Linked DNA regions of Saccharomyces cerevisiae S288C. The protein of the gene in region 1 interacts with the protein of each later gene in a pairwise test. Each region holds a gene or a part of one and is shown on either strand. Other genes may lie near its edges.

What was found. Proteins that work in one complex are often made in the same cells at the same time.
Region 2: the proteins of GYL1 (region 1) and YNR065C interact in a protein complementation assay, tested with the Saccharomyces cerevisiae proteins (one large-scale study listed by BioGRID).

What each region holds. Positions count from the first base shown.
Region 1 is NC_001145.3:645,513-649,785, forward strand, and holds GYL1 (Gyl1p), read left to right. Parts: upstream 1-1,605; coding exon 1,606-3,768; downstream 3,769-4,273. Other genes in the region: SPG5 (Spg5p), read left to right, coding at 144-1,265. UniProt on the Saccharomyces cerevisiae protein: Probable GTPase-activating protein which stimulates the GTP hydrolysis rate by GYP5 of YPT1 and SEC4. Involved in ER to Golgi trafficking and polarized exocytosis.
Region 2 is NC_001146.8:749,826-755,474, reverse strand, and holds YNR065C (uncharacterized protein), read left to right. Parts: upstream 1-1,774; coding exon 1,775-5,125; downstream 5,126-5,649. Other genes in the region: YNR066C (uncharacterized protein), read left to right, coding at 440-1,750; YNR064C (epoxide hydrolase), read left to right, coding at 5,467-5,649.

The sequences.
Region 1 (4,273 bases):
CGAAGCCGGGCAATCCACTTCGAAACGCACGGCTGAACTATATAAATATAAAGGACATGTGGAGAGAAGCTTCTCTTCCTTCACATTTCGCATTTCATGATCTAAAGTGGTTCTTTCACAATAGAAGAGCACCAACACGAAATATGGCTGTCGGTGGTAATAACTGGAGCATGTGGCTGCGAATGTCACGGGTCCACCTCAGGCAGATCACGAAGTCTCTGGACCGAACGCTGATCAGTTTGAGCCATGGGAATTTTTCCCACCAATATAATCGCAATATTTTTGTCACTTGGTGGAAGAGCCTATTTGAGGCTTCTACAGCTTTTAGGAGGGCAAGTGGTTTAACGGTATCTCCTCTCACGAGGAGAGGAATCGCAAGGTTTGACCATTTCAGACCTGTTCCCAATGTCAGTAAATTTGCTTCTTTTCCCAGAGTGCCCAAAGGAGCCCCAAGGGGCCTTTTTACCAACTGGAATATGACTACATCAAAGAGATTATTAGGGCAGAGAGCTTATTCGACTTCCAGTATCAAATTTACCCAAGAAGCCGTGAATAACATGACTATATCTTTGAGGTGTTTTTTCAACTCACTAGGCGGATTAAATCAGTGCTCCCACTCTAATTCCTGCAAAGCTTATCAGAATGCGTCTAATGTTACCTCTAAACAGGATCACGTCCAACCAGTTGCCCTTAAGAAGTTATCTCAAAAGGATATCAATTTCATTCGTAATTTAGAACTATTTAAGATAATGAAGACCCAGAATGAAGTCGTTGATGAAACAAGCGCATATTACATGGAAAAACCAGGTTCCTATATTGAATTTACCATTTCAGAATTTAACGTTAATGGGACATTCTCCGCACCTTTGTCATTTTTAGATCCTTCTTTGTTAGCGGATTTGGATGAAATGATTAGAAATTACAAATACGAATTAAAATCAATATACAGTAGTGTTGACATGATCTTGCAGAATTATGGATCATTGCCGATAACTTTTCATCGAAATAAGATTCGAATACATTTTCCAAACTCAACTGTGGTGGAAACAGAAAAACTAATTGCAGGTCTGAATATTGCTACGGGTGTTATTTACGCAGATACGTCTCCCGATATCAGTCTAGAAGGTACAAATTTGAATGCTCTGGTTAATGTTGACAATTCAGGAAGCGTATGGTCTTTTGTTAAGGAGCCCTCGTTTCCCTCTAGGAGCGCTTTTTCACCTATTTTATCAGATGCATCCTATGATACTTATGAATTGGTCTAGCAAAGACGTTGTTTCATCGCGCTATTACCAAGAAGGTTACTTTACTTGTTCTTGCACATGGACGCACGTTGTGTGTTCATATATATATATATATATATATATATATATTTGTGCTTGTTTTCATTGTCTCTATAGTTAATACATTCTATTTTTATCGTTATATTTGCATTCTCTTCGCATAAAAACTTCATGAAAATTCGGCAGAAAATAAGCCATATATGTACTTTATCCATAGGCAAAGAAAAGCACTTAACGAGAATATACAACAATTGCACTAGTACTGCATGTATATACTCTTATGATTATAGCGGCAAGAAAACAAATATAAACACACTAACAGATGAATTCGAATGAAGATATACATGAAGAACGCATTGAAGTTCCACGAACTCCCCATCAAACCCAGCCAGAGAAAGACTCTGATCGCATCGCTCTCAGGGATGAAATATCAGTACCAGAAGGCGATGAAAAAGCATATTCGGATGAGAAAGTAGAAATGGCAACCACAAATGCATCCAGTAACTTTGGCTCAAATGAAAGTGCAAAAGACGGCGAATCAATCGGCGCCTTTTCAAATCCCCATGAGGCTCTGATGCAGTCAAAATTGAGAGAAGAATCCCAGAGTAAAACCATACTACCATCCGATGACCTCAGCCAGCAATTAGAAACCGAAGAATCCAAAGTTGAAGAGGCTCTAAAAAGAATAACCTCACCCCCATTACCACCGAGGGCTGACTGCATAGAAGAATCTGCATCTGCTCTTAAATCCTCATTGCCTCCAGTGCTAGCAGGAAATAAAAATGATCAAGCCCCCCTTGACCGACCACAGTTACCTCCGAGGCAGGTAGTTAATGCGGAAACTCTTCATTTGAAGGCGCCCCATGGTAATGCGACTCCCTCCAAATCACCAACGAGTGCTGTAGGTAATTCTTCTTCATCGACCCCTCCAACCTTACCACCACGCCGTATAGAAGATCCTTTAGACTTGGCTGCTCAAAAACATTTCCTAGCGAGTACATTTAAGAGAAATATGCTCTTTTATAAAAGTGAAGATAACTCTATCAAATGTGATTTGGATAAAAATATACTAAATTTAAAAGAAGATTCAAAAAAAATTAACAACAATGAAATTCCTGAAGAGGTTAGTTCATTTTGGTTAAAGGTTATCGGCGACTATCAAAATATCTTAATAAACGATATCGAAACCTTACATTTCCAACTATCTCGAGGTATACCAGCCGCTTATCGATTGGTAGTCTGGCAGTTAGTAAGTTATGCAAAATCGAAATCCTTTGACCCTATATATGAAACGTATCTAACGGAAATGGCACCTTTTGACGTCCAGGAATTTGAAAATCAGCTAAAAATGATGGACGAAGTTCCCTCTGAATACGTAAAACGCATAAGTAATGTGTTAAAGGCTTATTTACTTTTTGACCCAGAGTGTGAGTTTTCTACCGACATTGCTTATATTATCAATATGATTCTTGACGTTTGCGAGGAGGAGGCAAATGCATTTGGTCTACTTGTACGCCTAATGAAAGTTTACGGTTTAAGACTCTTGTTCTTACCAAGTGCTTCTGAGATCGATATTCTTTGCTATAAATTTGATAGACTTGTAGAAGAATTTTATCCTGAAATTCACAACCACATGGTTGAAAAAGGCGTCCGTTCTTCCATGTTTTTGCCCGGTTTCTTCACGACACTGTTTCAAAAGAAACTTCCCACTGAAATTCAACCACGTATCGGTGATATGGTATTTTTAGAAGGTATTGACTCTATTATGAGAATTTTAGCCACACTTTTATCTAATTCCCGAGACCATCTGTTAAAAATGGGTTTTGATGATATGCTGGAGCTATTGAAATCAGGTCTGTTAGATGCTTATATTAAGCAGAATGATGGTACACGCGGTGACACTCTTCTCTCAAATGAATGTATGGATAAATTACTACAAGACTCTATGATGAAAGTAGCAATAACCCCAAAGACTATGAAGAAATATTCTTCTGAATATGAGGAAATTCACAGATTGGACAATGAAAAAGAAGTGCAATATAAGTCTATCACGGAAAAAAATTTACATTTACAAAAGCATGTTCGTAAATTAGAAAACGACTACACATCTTTAAATAGAGAGCATGTGACAATTGCGAACGAGTTAGTGAAAAATCGGCTTAATATCGAGTCTGTATTAAATGAAAATAATGGTTACAAACTTCAAATTTTAGATTTGAAGAAAAAGTTGGATTCAGAAAAAAAGAAGCAAGTTTTAGGTGTATATGTGCCCAATGATTTAAAGAAAGATTTGGAAGAGACAATGAAAAAGAATACCCAAGTAATGGACGAAAATTTGAAATTGCAGGATAGGATTTCAGAACTAGAAAGGCTTATTGAAGAAATAAAAACTGCAAACAAAAATGGTACGTTATTCGAATATTCTAATTCTAAAAATAATCCTTTGGGAGCCGGCTGGTCAGGATTTAAAAAGGTTTTTAAATAGTTAAACTGTGTATATCAGCTACTGCTCCCCTTGAATGATACATGACTAAATATAATGATAAATTTATTTCTTGATTTTTGATTATTTCATATTTTGTTGACATTTGAGAGCTTCAATTGTATAAAGTTGCAAGATAATATATGAGGTTAGGGAAGCCGGATAAAGAAAATAGAGTACTTTAAAACTGTTCATGGACTAAGAATTCAGTGACGATGAAGTAGTAAAGGAGAGTGTTTAGGATATAAATAAGACCGAGAAATTGTTAGTAAGCATTACTTCTAGCAGAAATAATGAACCACAATCGTGACAATATATACTCGAGTTAGCAGTTAACAGTAACCCTTTCCATACCATTCTAAACTTTGCAACAGTAAATATCTTGGCGTTTAACGTTTTATTTTATTCTACGTTTCTCAAATATCGGCTGTACTCATGTGGCACATCATGAAAAGAGCCTTCATATCAAGAATTCAAGAATTTTAATTACATCGTGACAACGGTTTCC
Region 2 (5,649 bases), on another chromosome or scaffold:
TGTTTTGCAGAATACCATTCTAGACTATGATCCCTTAGAGATTCTCATTCTTTAAATATCAGCTTCAACAGCATATCTTTATAGTATTATCGTACTACTGGCGACATTAGCAAATCAAAGTATTTTTGCTCAGTTTCTAGTTTTATCTGTTTGATTCCCCATTAGATGGTAAACACGTTGTCTTGATGACTGAAAAGGAAGTGAACATGGTCAACTCAAAATAACCAGACTCAAAATAATTGCAATTACCTAGGCTAGATATTTTTAGAATATTATGAGAATATTTTTAGAATATTTGCAACCCAAAATATATTTAAATGCCGCCAATTTGCAACCAAAAGATTATCCGCTACCTTTTTTTTAGTCATTGAATCGTAGCATAAAGTTCCGAGCTTTGAAAAAAAGCTTTGAACTAAGAAAAGGTAAGAGATCCTCAATTATGATATTACTCCAAGTCATATGCACGATTTGGACATGTCTCTTTATTCCGTTACTCAATGCAGAGGAATTCGTCCCCAAAGTAACGGAGACTCTTTCAGAATATTCATTTAGTCTAGAGAGCTTTGACGATTCCAACAGTTTAATCAGATTAGATAATCAAGTCGTGTGGATAAGTTCCGATTCTGGAGAAAATTGGGAAGCGGTCAAAGAAATTGAAGGGCATATTCTCGAATTAATTGTTGATCCTTTGCATGGACAGGACAGGGCTTTTGTTTCGATACATTTATCACCCAAATTTTACGTCACCGATGATCGTGGAAAATCATGGAGGGCTCTGACTATACCCGTCTCTGAAAACTGTCGTTTGGGTACTTCTTGCTCTATAGCTACCCATCCGACAGATAAAAAGTACCTTATTGCAGATTGCCCTTGCTTTATAAACGACAATGGTTATATCCAAATACAAAATGAAACTTACTTTACCAACGATGGGGAATCCTTTTACAATATCGAACCTTCCTTGAAAAAGAAAGAAGATGACCATATAACAAGTTCAAGCTGCAACTTTGTCAAATCTAGCAAGGATTCTGATATTGAGGGTAACGACGCTTCGATACTATGTTTGTTCTCGAACCATGGTTACGATAGCGATCGTCACTTAAGTGCCGCATATACACAATTAGCCTTAAGTACTGATGGAGGTAAAACTTTCAAAAAATTTGATGAGTTTAATGATAAAATTATTTATCAATACAAGATATTAAAATCACATATAATCGTTTCGACACAAGATGATAGATACAATGAAATGTCACCCATGGACATCTGGATATCCAATGATGCGTCTACTTTTCAAAAGGCACGTCTACCTGCTCAAGTACGGCACGTCCATATGTATGGAATTTATGAAGATTCTATTGGAAGAATAATCATTCCTATATCTACGATATTCACAGATGAAAAAAACGACCAACCAGCTCCCTCAGAAATTTTAATATCAGATTCTCAAGGGTTGAAATTTTTACCTGTTGAATGGACAATAAATCCTCACTTTGGTTATATTGATATTGCTTCTCCTCATTTCTTAGAAGGAACAATAATTGGCTCGTTTCATCCTTCCTTTGACTACTCTCATAACAAAGGAAAATATAATAAAAAGATAGCCAGATATGAAACTAAAATATCTGTTGATAACGGCCTCACATGGTCAAATTTGAAAGTGGTTGACGAGGAAAATGCAGATTCATTCCCTTGTGATATCACTAGGCCTGAAAGATGTTCGCTCCAGAACCCTTTTTATAGTATCTAAATCTCAAATCCTACTGCCGGAATTATGTTAATGACAGGTTCCGTTGGCGACGGTAGTGAATTCGATTGGGAAGACCAAAAAACTTTCATCTCTAGAGATGGCGGTTTAACGTGGAGATTTGTTCATAATTCTTCTGGGTTATATGCTACTGGTGACCTGGGAAATATTATTGTGTATATCCCATATGATCCAGAGGAAGATGGCGATTTTCAATCTGAATTTTATTATTCTTTGGACCAAGGTAGAACATGGAATGAATATGAGCTGACCAATGCCATAAGTTCTGTCCATCCCTACAAATTGATAAATCCAACACCAGATGGATCTGGCTCAAAATTTATTTTTAAAGGAACGTTTGCCACTACCGATTCCGAAACCAACAGTATAACTTCTTTAAAAGGTGTCGAGTATATAATTGATTTTTCAGCAGCATTCGACTCTAGAACGTGTGAGGAGGAAGATTTTGAAGATTGGGATTTGGCGGATGGGAAATGTGTTAATGGCGCCAAATACAAGTATAGAAGGAGGAAACAAGACGCCCAGTGTTTGGTAAAAAAAGCATTCAAAGATTTGAGTTTAGATGAAACGCCTTGTAATAGTTGTGGTGAATCCGACTACGAATGTTCGTTTGAATTTGTTAGGGACGCAAACGGCCTGTGTATACCAGATTATAATCTGATTGCCTTTTCCAACATATGTGACAAATCGAAGGATAAATCTGTGTTAGTAGAGCCATTACAATTAATCAAAGGTGATGAATGTAAAACACCCATGAAAATTGAACCCGTTGATATTCCGTGTGACGAAATTCCAGAGGAGGGTTCGAGTGACAGGGAAATAGTGACCACTGAAAACAAATTTGACTTCGAAATTAAATTTTACCAATACTTCGATACAGTTGCCGACGAATCTTTGGTCATGCTGAATTCGATAGGAGACGCCTATATATCCCACGATGGTGGACAAACAATAAAAAGGTTTGACACTAACGGCGAAAAAATTGTTGAAGTTGTGTTTAACCCATATTTCAATTCTTCAGCATATTTGTTTGGCTCTAAAGGTAACATATTCTCAACACACGATAGAGGACACTCTTTTATGATAGCTAAATTACCTGAAGCCAGGCAATTAGGTATGCCACTAGATTTTAGTGCTAAAGCACAGGATACTTTTATTTACTATGGTGGCAAGAATTGTGAATCAATCTTAAGTCCAGAATGTCATGCAGTAGCATACCTCACCAAAGATGGAGGTGAAACTTTTACAGAAATGCTTGATAATGCAATTCATTGTGAGTTTGCAGGCACACTCTTTGAATATCCGTCAAATGAGGAGATGGTTATGTGCCAAGTAAAAAAGAAGTCTTCAGAAACAAGAAGCTTGGTTTCTTCGATAGATTTTTTCCAAGGTGATAATAAAATTATCTTTGAAAACATTATCGGCTACTTGTCCACTGGTGGCTATATTATTGTTGCCGTACCTCATGAAGACAATGAGTTGAGGGCATATGTAACTATTGATGGTACTGAGTTTGCCGAGGCAAAATTCCCGTATGGTCAAGATGTTAGTAAGCAAGAGGCATTCACTATTTTAGGATCTGAGAAAGGATCGATATTTTTACATTTAGCAACAAACTTAGAATCAGGACACGATTTTGGAAACCTTTTGAAATCCAACTCGAATGGTACTTCTTTTGTCACTTTAGAGCATGCCGTTAATAGAAACACATTCGGTTATGTCGACTTTGAAAAAGTTCAAGGTCTTGAAGGTATTATTATTACCAACATCGTTTCGAATAGGGAAAAGGTTGGAGAGAACAAGGAAGACGAACAATTGAAGACGAAAATCACCTTTAATGACGGTTCAGATTGGAACTTTTTGAAGCCTCCAAAGAAGGATTCGGAAGGGAAAAAGTTTCCCTGTGATTCTGTATCATTAGATAAATGTTCTCTACATTTGCATGGTTACACTGAACGTAAGGATATCAGGGATACATATTCCTCCGGTTCCGCGTTAGGAATGATGTTTGGTGTCGGAAATGTTGGCGATAAGCTTCTACCATATGAGGAGTGTTCCACTTTTTTAACCACTGATGGAGGAGAGACGTGGACTGAGGTTAAAAAAGGCCCCCATCAATGGGAGTACGGTGATCATGGTGGAGTCTTGGTTTTGGTCCCCGAAAACGCAGAAACTGATTCTATTTCTTACTCCACCGATTTTGGTAAAACATGGAAAGATTATAAATTCTGTGGCGACAAAGTCCTCGTAAAGGATATAATCACCGTTCCCAGAGATTCTGCTTTGAGGTTTTTGCTATTTGGAGAAGCAAAAAACATGGGTAGTGGTTCATTCAGAACGTATACAATTGATTTTAGAAACATCTTCGAGAGGCAATGTGAGTTTGATATTACGGGTAAAAAAAGGGCAGATTTTAAGTACTCTCCTCTGGGTTCCAGAACTGGTTGTCTATTTGGTCATCAAACCGAGTTTTTACGTAAAACCGATGAAAAATGTTTTATTGGGAATATTCCACTTTCTGAATTTTCGAGGAACGTCAAAAACTGTTCATGTACGAGGCAAGATTTCGAATGTGACTATAATTTTTATAAAGCCAGTGATGGTACTTGTAAATTAGTCAAAGGCTTAAGTTCGGCGAATGGTGCCGATATCTGCAAAAAGGAACCCGACTTAATTGAATACTATGATTCCTCTGGCTATCGAAAAATTCCCTTATCAACCTGTAAAGGTGGGCTGAAATTGGATGCACATTTAGCACCACATCCTTGTCCGGGAAAAGAAAAGGCATTCAGGGAAAAATATTCTATAAACACCGGCGCTTATGCGCTGGTTTTTGTTACAATTCTTCTCGTTATTTTCTTTGCCGCATGGTTTGTATACGATAGAGGTATCAGGAGAAATGGGGGATTTTCAAGATTTGAAGAAATAAGATTAGGAGACGATGGGCTGATAGAAAACAATAGGACCGATAGAGTTGTCAACATCATTGTAAGACTAGGATTATGCATTTCTTTAATTACCAAGTCTGCATTTCAACGCACGAAGGCAGGTGTAGCACGCTTTTCTTCAAAATTAAGGGCAAGGTTTGGCAACAGAAAAGGTCCTACTTACTCTTCGCTGCTTCAGGGTCAGTTTTCAGATGAATCAGATGGCTTGCATGAAGATGCTAACGATTTATCCAGTTTCACAAGTCAAGACAGTAATTTTGAAATTGAACAAGAAGATGCTTACAGACCCGAACAAGAGCACACGTCACAGATAGACCAGCCTGCCACTAGCAATATTCCAGACGCATTGCCAGCACGTAGTGCTATTCACAAGCCTGATTCAACTGCTGTGCGCAACGAGGACGAGTAAATAGATTTTTTTAATAGACTAAATAATCGTATGTTTGCTAACAAAAAGTACGCATATGCATTTTCTCAATATTGTGCATTTTCTAAATCTCCATTCACCTTTGTTATTAACATAGTCATTTAAAGGTATGATAATTCAGTATTCATCTTTTCCACAGACGGCGCTGCATGCCATTCGTCTGTAACTTGCCTAGGGACTGCGCCGCACATAATCGTGACAGAAATTTCAAAAGTGATAGGAGCCAAAAGTGATAGGAGCCAAAAAGAACATATATAAGCACGATCAAATTAACTGAACTTGACCACTTTTCTTTCACTGTCAGAATTGGACGAAGGACAAAAATGTCAAATATCATTGCAAGATTTCACAAGATTCAAGTTCAAGACGGTGTAAAGGTTTGGTACCGTGAGGCCGGTGCAGCAGGTAACCCCACAATTTTATTGCTACATGGGTTCCCTACATCTTCCAACATGTTCAGGAACCTCATTCCCTTACTAGCTGGACAGTTTCACATCATTGCTCCG